Cricetulus griseus: one gene and its partners. The protein of the gene in region 2 purifies or fractionates together with the protein of the main gene of each other region. This does not show direct contact. Links are inferred from orthologs where the notes say so. Each region holds a gene or a part of one and is shown on either strand. Other genes may lie near its edges.

Region 1 (3,652 bases), on a different chromosome or scaffold from region 2:
GTCATGTATATTAAGGGAGTCTAGTTTGGTATTATGCTGGTTCCCCATTTGTCAGACCTGAGTCAGTGATCTCTCACTAGCTCGAGCCAGAAGCCAATACTTTTGATCTAATATTGTGTCCATTTTTTCTTAAGAAAATTTCTACTTATACAAGTTGATATGATAGTTTGAATAGTATGCTGCTAAATCTAAAATACTGCATTTAAAAAGAATTGAGCAAGTGCTATATCCAAGTTACCTAGTATTTGTGTAAGATAGCATTCCATCCTAATGAAAAGTTTAGTTGGTGGGTATGTGCACACCCCAGACCTACAGTCTTTAAAAACAGGGTACCATTTTTTTTTTTGTTTTGTCATTTAACCAGCCACAATTGTATTTTACCATTTGGTAGGCTTGATGGTGAAAGAACATTTATAGTACTTAATTCTTATCTGGAACTTAGCAAATTTGATATTTTCAGAGAATTATCAGTCTTAGTAACTGCTGAATTGTTTTGATAGCTGAGGAACAACATGGGTAATTTGAGTTGTTCTTAATTAAGATATTGTTTCTTTGATAGAATCCTGACATAAATATATGCATTTCTTTGCTTTTGTTTGTTTTAGAATATGCAGAATTTCTACATTGCAAAGGAAAAAAATTTACAGATTTTGATGAAGTTCGCCATGAGATTGAAGCAGAAACAGACCGAGTGACGGGAATGAATAAGGGTATCTCTTCTATACCCATTAACCTCCGAGTCTATTCTCCACATGGTAAGTGTAATATTTAAATTTGAATGATTCTCCTCAGACATTACTTACTAGACAAATTCACATTCATTGTAGAACATTCGAATAGTGCGGGTCTCTGGATGTTTGGGTTGTGGTGCCTATGGTACAATTCAAAGAGCTCAGACTATATAGAGAGAGGCAGGAGGGGACTGACTGATAAGATCCAGAATTTACTTGAGAATTGAAAAAAATCCTTTTTTTTTATTATGAACTTTCAGAACATTGGGAGGTGGGCACATGAATTTATTATTATTATTATTGTCTTTAGTCTTTGCCAAAAAATTTTAGAGGTATATGGTTGAGTCCTTCCCTGTTAATCTCCTTGTAGACATTTTATATTTCTACTTATTCTATTCCAGGGGAACAAAATGCAATTTTTATCACTAGACAGTCATCATAAATTCATGTAGGGACTTGGTACCCACACCCAGAAGACAGTAGTTGAGTTGGACTGCCATCACCTTGCCACCAACTGCTTGTACAGCCCACTTACTCCACTCGAAGCACCACAAATGGCTCACAGCTTCCCACAGGCTAAGTGGCTAACCTTCTGCAAATAACATACGATGCTTTCAAAGGGGAAGGGCAACTGTTACCCTGAAAATTTTTTATACCACTTGAAGGCAATGTTTAAGACCGGCAGACAGCATATGCATGTATTGTTGGGTGTTTTAATTATAGCTGTCTAGTTATGACAGCGAGGGGATGACAGCTCTCTCAGCAAACTGGTAGGCATGTAAATCAATGCCTTTCAGAGTATGTTAAGATGATCATTTGGCTTAGCTCAATCATGTAAAAATAGAGAAAACTAGCAAACCCATTTTGTATTCAATGCCTTTCCTTCTCCTCACTTGTGATGGAGTCATCCACATACACAACACGTAAAGCTGAGATAAGTGGCAGCTGATGCAGCCACCTGGGGTGTCTTTTCGACAGCCTTATGGGTATCTTTTGGATAGAAGGTATCTGTAAGACTCTTCCCATTCTTTCCCACACAGTGTTAAATCTAACGCTAATCGACTTACCTGGGATAACGAAAGTGCCCGTGGGAGACCAGCCCCCAGATATTGAATATCAGATCAGAGATATGATCATGCAGTTCATCACAAGAGAGAACTGTCTGATCTTGGCTGTCACTCCAGCCAACACCGATCTTGCGAACTCCGATGCACTGAAGCTAGCTAAAGAAGTTGATCCTCAAGGTGAGTGTGTGACAAGTATCATAAGAAAGAATATGACAAGAGTTTTGGTCATATTTACAGGTAGCCCAAATTCTCATGACTTGATTTCATAAGGTTCAATAAGGTTAATGTTGGTAAATATTTTATATTTCAAGTGCCAAAAGAATAACTAGGGAATACAGTCAAATACCACATGATTAAAATTAATATCCAATGAAATCCAAAAACACAGGCACTTTCAATCTCAGAGTGCTTATTTTTAAAGGTTAATAAAATAAATTTCTGCAATAGCAGAATTCTATTTATTTAGTTATTATAGGAGCTACCCAAATGTCTCAATTAGCACACTTTCTATTGTCTTTTGTTTATTATTTCTTGAAAATAGGAAATGTTAAAAAACAAACATAACAGATTATTTAGGCTGTATTTATTTGATATATATTATAATACTAGGGATTATTTTTCTTATTTGTATGTTAGAATCCAGAAAAGTCTCTTCCTTATGCTGATGTTTTAATTTTCCCTTTCTCTGAGTTGAAAAATGACGATCTCTCTTCAAAGATTTTATTGGCACACCTTGGGGTGTGTGTGTGTGTGTGTGTGTGTGTGTAAAGAAATGATCAAAAGGCTCTCAGATGTGCTCTTGCAACATGGAGGTGCATGGTCCTCAACTCTAGGACTTCCAACATTTGTTATGATTGATTGTCCCCATTTATTTGCTCTCTTTGTTTTTAATGCTTGCTATTTCTTATTTTCTCCTGTTTCTCTTCTAACATTCATTTCTCAGCCTTTTTTGTTTTACACATTTGCATTCTCTCCTCTAACTCATTTTTTTATTTATGATAGAAATGTTGAAATTCCAAGAGCATTCTTTTATTTTATGAATGTTATTTTTTATATTTTACAAATAGCAGCCTGCTCTTGGATTCATGAGTGCAACGATTGAGGACTGATCAGAACTTTTCAGTCTTCTTTTATGCTTCTCTTATACTTAATCTCAGAGGCCATTGCTTTCTTGTTGCCTTGGTCTCTGTCTTGGATACTAGAGACCTCTGTCAAACACATAATGGCGGTCTGTTTCTTGCTTATTGATGAGAGTGAAACGCTGACAAGCTGATACATCTGCAGGATTGGGATCCATTGGTTAGTAGGCTCTACATACAGCAATTGGGCTGTGACTGGATCATTTTTGTTGGTAGAATTTCTGAGCTGCTAGAGATGGTCTCAGGTAGGCTATATGCCTATTTGAAGCCAAGAAGACTTGCCCTGGCCATGGTGTGCTTAGAAGAAGGCATTGTCAAGCACTTCTGCCTGTCTTCTGCCCCTTCCTTTCTTTCTGGATAATCCATGAGCGTTAAGGGAGTAATAAAATCCATTTTGTTAATGTCTGCCTTTTGCCTGGAGTGTTTAATTTATTTAAATTCGGTGACATTACTCACAGCCTTGAATCTGTATGTCATTTTGTTTTTTTATGTTATATCCTATGTCTTTGATGCTCTGATGATGTCTTCCTTTGTGTCACAATCCAGTTTTCAGTGTATCACTTTGGTTTCTTGTCATTCATTTACCTGTCTTTGAAGTTATTTTCGTAGTGATTTCTCTAAGAATACTCTTAAAATTAAATTATAGAAACTTTGTTTGGATCAATGTCAACTTAATTTTAACTGTACCAGGAACTCTGCTGCTTTTTGATAGCAA
Region 2 (3,652 bases):
CTACCTGTAAGCACAGAAAAGGCACCCAGGACTAGCCCCCGAGACAGGGTGGGCTGCAATGCTCAAGTCTCACCCAGGCAGTGCCATCTGGCAGGATAAGATGATTTGTGGTCCCTCCCTAAGTTCCCAACTCTTACTGAGGGTTAAGCCTTCTTTGGCCTTCTCTTTGGGAAGGGCCTTGCTTCCTCCCAACCCCTCTGTCCTCTGTCCCAGGTCCTTCTAGATCCGACTGGCTAAGTCTCACAGTCACCCTCCACTCATTCCTTTCTACGTGGACTGGTTTTGTCATGTGAACAGTTTCTACCTCTCTACTGAAACTCTCAGGTTTTGGGAAGCTCAGCCTCTTTATAAATCCTGTGTCCTAAGTTATGATCACCAAGTCCTCAAACACTCATCCCTGGTCCCACACTAGAGGACTCCTGTTCTGAGATGACAGTTTCTAAGGACAGGGGCAACAAACTCTTTCTGCCCAGATGCATGGGGAGGGGGTGTCTGGTGACAGGTGGACTGCTTAGAAGAGAGTTTTTCGTTTTTTTTTAAAGATTTTATTTGTTATGTATACAATATTCTGCTTCCATGTATATCTGCACACCAGAAGAGGGCACCAGATCTCATAACGGATGGTTGTGAGCCACCATGTGGTTGCTGGGAATTGAACTCAGGACCTCTGGAAGAGCAGTCAGTGCTCTTAACCGCTGAGCCATCTCTCCAGCCCGTTTTTCATTTTTAAAAGATAATTTTATTATTTTAAATCATGTGTGTGACCTCGTGCATCTGTGTGTAGGTATGCACACATGAATGCAGGTGCCCGTGGAGGCAAAGCTGGAATTGTGGGCAATCATGGGGTGCTAGAAACTAGCATGGGGTGCTAGTTGGTCCTCTGCAAGGGCGGTGTACATTCTTAACTGCTGAGCACTCGCCAAAGCTTACTTACCACAAGATTTTTAAGGGCAGGACAAAGTGGAAGAAATGCGACACTTTTTAGTAAACAAGAAAAGGGAGAGGGTTTGAGTAAGCAATGAAGAATTCTCCATCATGAACGACCCAGAGGCCCTGGCTTCTCCGTGTGTTCCCCATACACAAAAGAGCAGGGCGGCAGAGCAGTCTCCTGTCATTTGGGTCTCAAGCTTTTGTTTTCATTTTAGGCTGTTCAGATAATTTTTATTTCTAAGGTTCTGTTTCTCACATGTAAAAAAAATGTATTTCTTTTTTTTTTCTGGTAGAAGGAAATAGAGACAATGACTTTTCTAGAATTCAAGGTGTGGACACAGCTCTCTGATGGCAAATTTTACCATAAGTTTCTATGAAATATTCAGGCAAGTTCCACATTTGTCCAGTCTTCACAGGCATGAGTGACCACTTGCACTCTTGCACATCAGGAGTATAACATAACTGGCTCTCCACCTGTCATCTAAAACACCATTGCTCATGCTCACCTGTCACCTGCTTGTCTGGAAGAGAAGGGATCGGAATGGCAGACCCAAATTTAACTAAGAGACGCTCATACAACCAGTCAAAGTGCTTGTATCTGTGGTTTACAGATCGATTAGTGTTCTGCAAAATAAGGGAAAAAAGAACAAAGCATTACGGATGCCAAGTACTGAAAAGGAGAACAAGAGCTGTGGCAGCTTCATTTAGAGCAGGTACTCACGGTAGGTGTTAGCTGATACTCAATGTAGCTCTTCAGACCGTACATTTTGGAACCTTTCCGGGGATCTGCTACCACACAGTCAAAAGTAGAGGTAGGGTAAACCCACATTGGGCCATAATCTCCAACCTAAACAATGATCCAGGACAAGTTAATTCTGTATTTTCTTGGGAAAATGGTAATACAATTGCAGTAAGGCAGGGAACAATTCCTTTCAGAACTGCAGTCCTATGGCAGAAGGGAGGACTGGTCTGTCGTTCACAGACACTGTATCTGCAAAAGCACAGTTGTTCAGAAGAACCCATCCATCTTTTCCATGTGGGCATCTTGTCTCACTCAGGATGAAGAGAAACCGGCTCCCATCTAGGGAGCTGAGCTCAGAAGCACTGCCTCCTTTAGACCACAATTTAAAGCTAAATTGAGCTAACTTCAAGACAGTATGAGGCTGGCCACAGTCTGACAACCACTATTTCAACCCTGGTTAGAAGTAAAAGAAAAGGAAGAAGACCAGCAGTTGGGCTGAAGAGAGATGTGTGAGCTGAGAATTCCACAGCAAGGCCAGCAGGTGCAAGGAGACAAGAATGCCCATCTCATTCTGTCCAGAAGTGGTGGAGGGGATGCAGGATGGGTACAGAAGTCCAGGCAGGGGTCACTAAGGAGGATGGATGACAACTGGAGATGATTAATAAGGCACTAAAGAGATCTCTAAGAATACACAATTAAGCTGCCTCAGGGGCGATGTCCCGGAGGTTCTACTAAGCCTTCAGGACAGCAACTGAGGCCCATGTGGAGCAGCAATCCTCTGTGAAGAGGACAGAGAGCAACTGCCTGGTCCCCAAACTTGCCAGGCCTATATTATCAGTGAGCAATGCTATTTTTTATCCTAAGCACACAATGGGTCTCTGCCCAGGGGTTTTGGCAGATAGACCCCTGTGCCTGAGGGCAGGCCTGACTGACCAGCTTCTCACACAGCAAAAGAAATGGTCTTCATCTCCTGAAGACTCAATGGCTTTCCCATTTCTTTTGCTATGTGAGAACAAACAAAAAGACTCAAATCTTCTTCTTCTTCTTCTTTTTTTTTTGGGTGGGGGAGGACGGGATTTCTTTGTAGTTTTCGAGCCTGTCCTGGAACTCGCTCTGTAGACCAGGTTGGCCTTGAACTCACAGAGATCTGCCTGCCTCTGCCTCCTGGTTGCTGGAATTAAAGGTGTCCACTACCACCTTTCAGCTCAAATCTTAAAATCAAATTACTCAGAAGATAATTGCCCCAAATATGCTGTGAGGGACAAAGGTTACAAGGGGCTTTGGGATATTGCACTTCTATTAGATGGTTCCTAGAATTTTAAGCTTTTTATGGATGAGGAAAAGTAATTAAAAGATCTATTATCATTCCTGGTTATTTTATCACAGGCAGGTGGTTCCTTGTGCTTGCTTCCAGCCATGCAGATTGCATCCAAGGCCTCCACCAGCTACAGGTTAAGTCACTAGGGTTACAAAACAGTCATAGATCTTTTTTCCCCTAGAACTTCACCTAGATAGAAATATATTAACAATCAAAGTATGGGATGAAACTGAAGAGCATTTGTCATATTTAATAATCATTTCACCAAGACAGATTAAACTGTTAATGGTGTCATTAACTCCCAGATTTATTTGCTAGCCCCTTAACTTCAGCTGTCAGCTGGTTTCCTGGAAGAAATCCTATTGTCAGGGTATTGGGAAAAGCACCCTGTCCTAACGACTTGCTCTTCTTTCACCAGGGCAGAAACCAAAATATTCTAACCGAGCTCATTGGCTAAATAAATAAGGCTGGTAGAAAGACAGAATGTAAAATATGTATTACAGTCTAAGACATTTTAGAAGAGAAAAAGTTTTAAAGTGCACAAGCGATGGTTGAACATTAATAGTTGAAAGATAAACATGGAGAAAACTGAGAAGCAGTGACAATCATTAACTTATACTGACTAGTTTTAGCACTCCTAATGACGTTATCAACATGGGACA
Region 3 (3,652 bases), on a different chromosome or scaffold from region 2:
GAGTTCTGTCCCAGGAACCCATGTAGAGGAAGGGAAGAACTGATCCCTGCATGTTGTCGTCTGACCTCCACATGTGTGTGGTGGCACACCCACACATATACATAAGTAAATAAACACAAGTGAATTTTAAAAGCTCCACCCCATAGAAACATTTTTTGCCAGGTTGGGGATATAAGGTTCTTACCTAGCATGGTGCAGTGGTTTTTTTTTTTTGTTTGTTTTGTTTTGTTTTAAGGAAATAGCAAGAGGTTTTATTGCAGTTGTTTAATGAGCTAACCCCATGTTAGTTCGGGCCTTTCATCCATCCACCATGGCGGATGGCTAGAAAGATGACGAAAAGCCACTGCATAGAGATCTTATAGGGCAGCGTAAGGGGAGTGTCTAGGGGACATAGTGTAGTTAAAACATCATTTTATCCAGGCAGTGGCAGCACACACCTTTAATCCCAGCACTCAGGAGGCAGAGACAGGTGGATCTCTGAGTTCAAAGCCAGCCTGATCTACAGACGAGTTGTAGAACAGCCAGGACTACACAGAGAAACCTGTCTCAAAAAAACAAAAACAAACAAATAAAAACTAAATCATGATTTGGCACTCAGTGCGGCAGTGAACAATCAGGCTCCCATCTCTCTAGAGGTGGGGGCATGAAGGCTGTGAGTTCTGGCTAGGGCCTTTCATCCATCCACCATGGCGGATGGCTAGAAAGATGACGAAAAGCCACTGCATAGAGATCTTATAGGGCAGCGTAAGGGGAGATTATATAGATAAAAAAATTGTTTTGTTTGTTTTTCAAGGCAGGGTTTCTTTGTGTAGTGTTGTTTGTCCTGTCCTAGAACTAGCTCTGTAGACCAGGCTGGTATTGAACTCACAGAGATCCTCCCGCCTTTACCACCTGAATGGAGTGCTGGGCTTGAAGGCTGTGCCACCACTGCTGGCTACATTAGATTTAAAATTATTTTATTAGTATGAATGTTTTGCTGGCATGATGTCTGTGCATCACCTGCATGCAGTGCCCACAGAGGCCAGAAGAGGACCTCAGATCCCTTGGAACTGTTATGGACAGTTGTGAACGGCCTTGTGGGTGCTGAGAACTGAACTAGAGTCCTCTGGAAGATCAGCAAGTGCTCTTAACCACTGAGCCATCTCTCCAGCCCCAGCATATATCAAGTCTGAAGCCAGCTTGAGTTTCATAGTCAGATCCTCTCTCAAAGAAATGGCATCAACACAGGGCTGGAGAGATGGCTCAGTGGTTAAGAGCACTGACTGATCATCCAGAGGACCTCAGTTCAGTTCCCAGCACCCACATGGCAGCTCACAACCATCTGTGATTCCAGTTCTAAAGGATATGACACCCTCTTCTGGCCTCTGCAGGCACCAGGCACACACATGGCACACAAACATATATGTAGACAAAACTCACATACACATAAAACAAATAATTAAAAAAGAGAAATTGCATCAGCAAAAAATCATTTTGGCCACTTTGGATCAGTGGGTAGGGGAGTGGAGAGAGGGGGAGAGGAATGGTGTGGAGGGTTTGAGAATGCATGAAGTCTTCCTAGTGAGGACTGCGGCGGGTGTGACAGTCCTCCATGGCCACTCTCCAGGTCAACGCACCATTGGGGTCATCACCAAGTTGGATCTGATGGATGAGGGCACAGATGCTCGGGATGTGCTGGAGAATAAGCTGCTCCCTCTGCGCAGAGGTAGGCAGAAACTGCTCAGCCTCTCTCTCCCTCATCCGCCTTCCCTGGAGGCTGCCTGCCTCTGACCTTGGCCCTGTTCCACAGGCTACATTGGTGTGGTGAACCGCAGCCAGAAGGACATCGATGGCAAGAAGGACATCACAGCCGCCTTGGCTGCCGAACGCAAATTCTTCCTCTCTCACCCGTCCTACCGCCACTTGGCCGACCGCATGGGTACACCCTACCTGCAGAAGGTCCTCAACCAGGTAGGGGAGCAGGCCTGGCCAGGGCCCAGGGAAATGAGAATAATCTCAAGTGCATCTTTTCTTGTTTGCTGGTGTGTGTGTGTGTGTGTGTGTGTGTGTGTGTGTGTGTGTGTTTTAAGCATTTTATTTCATATGTATGGGTGTTTTGTCTGGAGCTCAGGGAAATCAGAAGAGAGCATCAGGTCCCCTGGAACTGGAGTTGCAGATGGTTGTGAGCTGCTGTGTGGATGCTCTTGGCTACTGAGCCGTCTCCCCTGCCTGCTTTCTCAGTGCATCTTAAGGGTGACCAGTGCTGATTAGCATCCACTGATTCGACAAACTGAGACCCAGAGAAAGGAGGCTTCCTCAGTCTCAGTCCCACTGGGAGTTAGTGACAAGAATTCTGCTGACTTTTCCTGTCTGGGGCCTGGAAGGGGAGCCCTGGGACTCCCAGCATGTATAAAAGACCAAGATTTTGTGTGGATGGTGGTACTGACTAGTGGGGACTGGAATGTATTCACCTGGACATCTTGGTTCTCTCGGTTGACCCAGGGACTGGAGGGATGGCTTGGAGGTTAAGAGCACTGACTGCCCTTTCAGAGGTTCTGAGTTCAATTCCCAGCACCCACACATCTATGATAGGATCTAATGCCCTCTTCTGGTGTGTAGGTGTACATGTAGAGGACTTGTATATAAAATAGCTTTTTTGTTTGTTTTGAGACAGGGTTTCTCTGCATTGTTTTGGAGGATGTCTTGGAACTCGATCTCTGTAGACCACACAGGCCTCGAACTCACAGAGATCCACCTGCCTCTGCCTCCCAAGTGCTGGGATTAAAGACGTGTGCCACCAACACTCGGCATAAATAACATCTTTTTTTAAAAAATACAGTCCTAAAGTAGCAACAAAAATAATGTTATGGTTGGGGTAACCCCATGAGGACCTGTATTAGAGGGTTGCAGCATCAGGAAGGTTGGGAGCCACTGCTCTACAGCCTCTGCCCTGGTGCTGCCCAGCTCTGTGCCTCACTGTATCCACACAGCCTCCAACATCACTTCCCCTGCCCGACCCTGTGGGCATCTAGGGCTGTGAGCTTGGTTTTAACCTTTTCCTTACCCACCACGCCTAGCAACTGACCAATCACATCCGGGACACACTGCCGGGGCTTCGGAACAAACTGCAGAGCCAGCTGCTGTCCATTGAGAAGGAGGTGGAAGAGTACAAGAACTTCCGACCCGATGACCCAGCTCGCAAGACCAAGGCCTTGCTGCAGTAAGACTTCTGGCCCCGGTCTCCAGGGCTAACTGCTACAGCCCCTGCCACCCTCCAGGGCCCAGGGCTCCCACCAAGTCTTCTCAGGCCACGCCCCTCTCCCACACAGGATGGTCCAGCAGTTTGCAGTGGACTTCGAGAAACGCATTGAAGGTTCCGGAGACCAGATTGACACCTATGAGCTGTCAGGTGGAGCACGCATTAACCGGATCTTCCATGAACGCTTTCCTTTTGAGCTGGTTAAGGTAGGGCATTGCAATCCCAGGCAGGAGGGTGGGCCCTATCTCTACCTCCTGTGGCAGGGCTGGCCCTAACCAGTCTTCTGTCTGTCCACCACAGATGGAGTTTGATGAGAAGGAACTCCGAAGGGAGATCAGCTATGCCATCAAGAACATTCATGGGATCAGGCATGTACTGGGACCAGGGTGGGGTCTGCACACTGTTAGGCAAGGG

Evidence for each region.
Region 1: the proteins of Snx9 (region 2) and Dnm3 purify together in Homo sapiens (co-immunoprecipitation; 3 studies listed by BioGRID and IntAct, counting the BioPlex papers as one, with this or other methods). This does not show direct contact. The link is inferred for Cricetulus griseus from reciprocal best matches to the Homo sapiens genes SNX9 and DNM3.
Region 3: the proteins of Snx9 (region 2) and Dnm1 purify together in Homo sapiens (co-immunoprecipitation; 6 studies listed by BioGRID and IntAct, counting the BioPlex papers as one, with this or other methods). This does not show direct contact. The link is inferred for Cricetulus griseus from reciprocal best matches to the Homo sapiens genes SNX9 and DNM1.

Annotation. Positions count from the first base shown.
Region 1 is NC_048598.1:29,774,603-29,778,254, forward strand, and holds part of Dnm3 (dynamin-3), read left to right. Parts: intron 1-605; coding exon 606-755; intron 756-1,771; coding exon 1,772-1,975; intron 1,976-3,652. UniProt on the Homo sapiens protein: Microtubule-associated force-producing protein involved in producing microtubule bundles and able to bind and hydrolyze GTP. Most probably involved in vesicular trafficking processes, in particular endocytosis.
Region 2 is NC_048595.1:287,025,763-287,029,414, reverse strand, and holds part of Snx9 (sorting nexin-9), read right to left. Parts: intron 1,778-3,652; coding exon 1,652-1,777; intron 1,555-1,651; coding exon 1,437-1,554; intron 1-1,436. UniProt on the Homo sapiens protein: Involved in endocytosis and intracellular vesicle trafficking, both during interphase and at the end of mitosis. Required for efficient progress through mitosis and cytokinesis. Required for normal formation of the cleavage furrow at the end of mitosis.
Region 3 is NC_048599.1:144,070,823-144,074,474, reverse strand, and holds part of Dnm1 (dynamin-1), read left to right. Parts: intron 1-1,606; coding exon 1,607-1,705; intron 1,706-1,789; coding exon 1,790-1,950; intron 1,951-3,056; coding exon 3,057-3,199; intron 3,200-3,308; coding exon 3,309-3,444; intron 3,445-3,538; coding exon 3,539-3,606; intron 3,607-3,652. UniProt on the Homo sapiens protein: Catalyzes the hydrolysis of GTP and utilizes this energy to mediate vesicle scission and participates in many forms of endocytosis, such as clathrin-mediated endocytosis or synaptic vesicle endocytosis as well as rapid endocytosis (RE).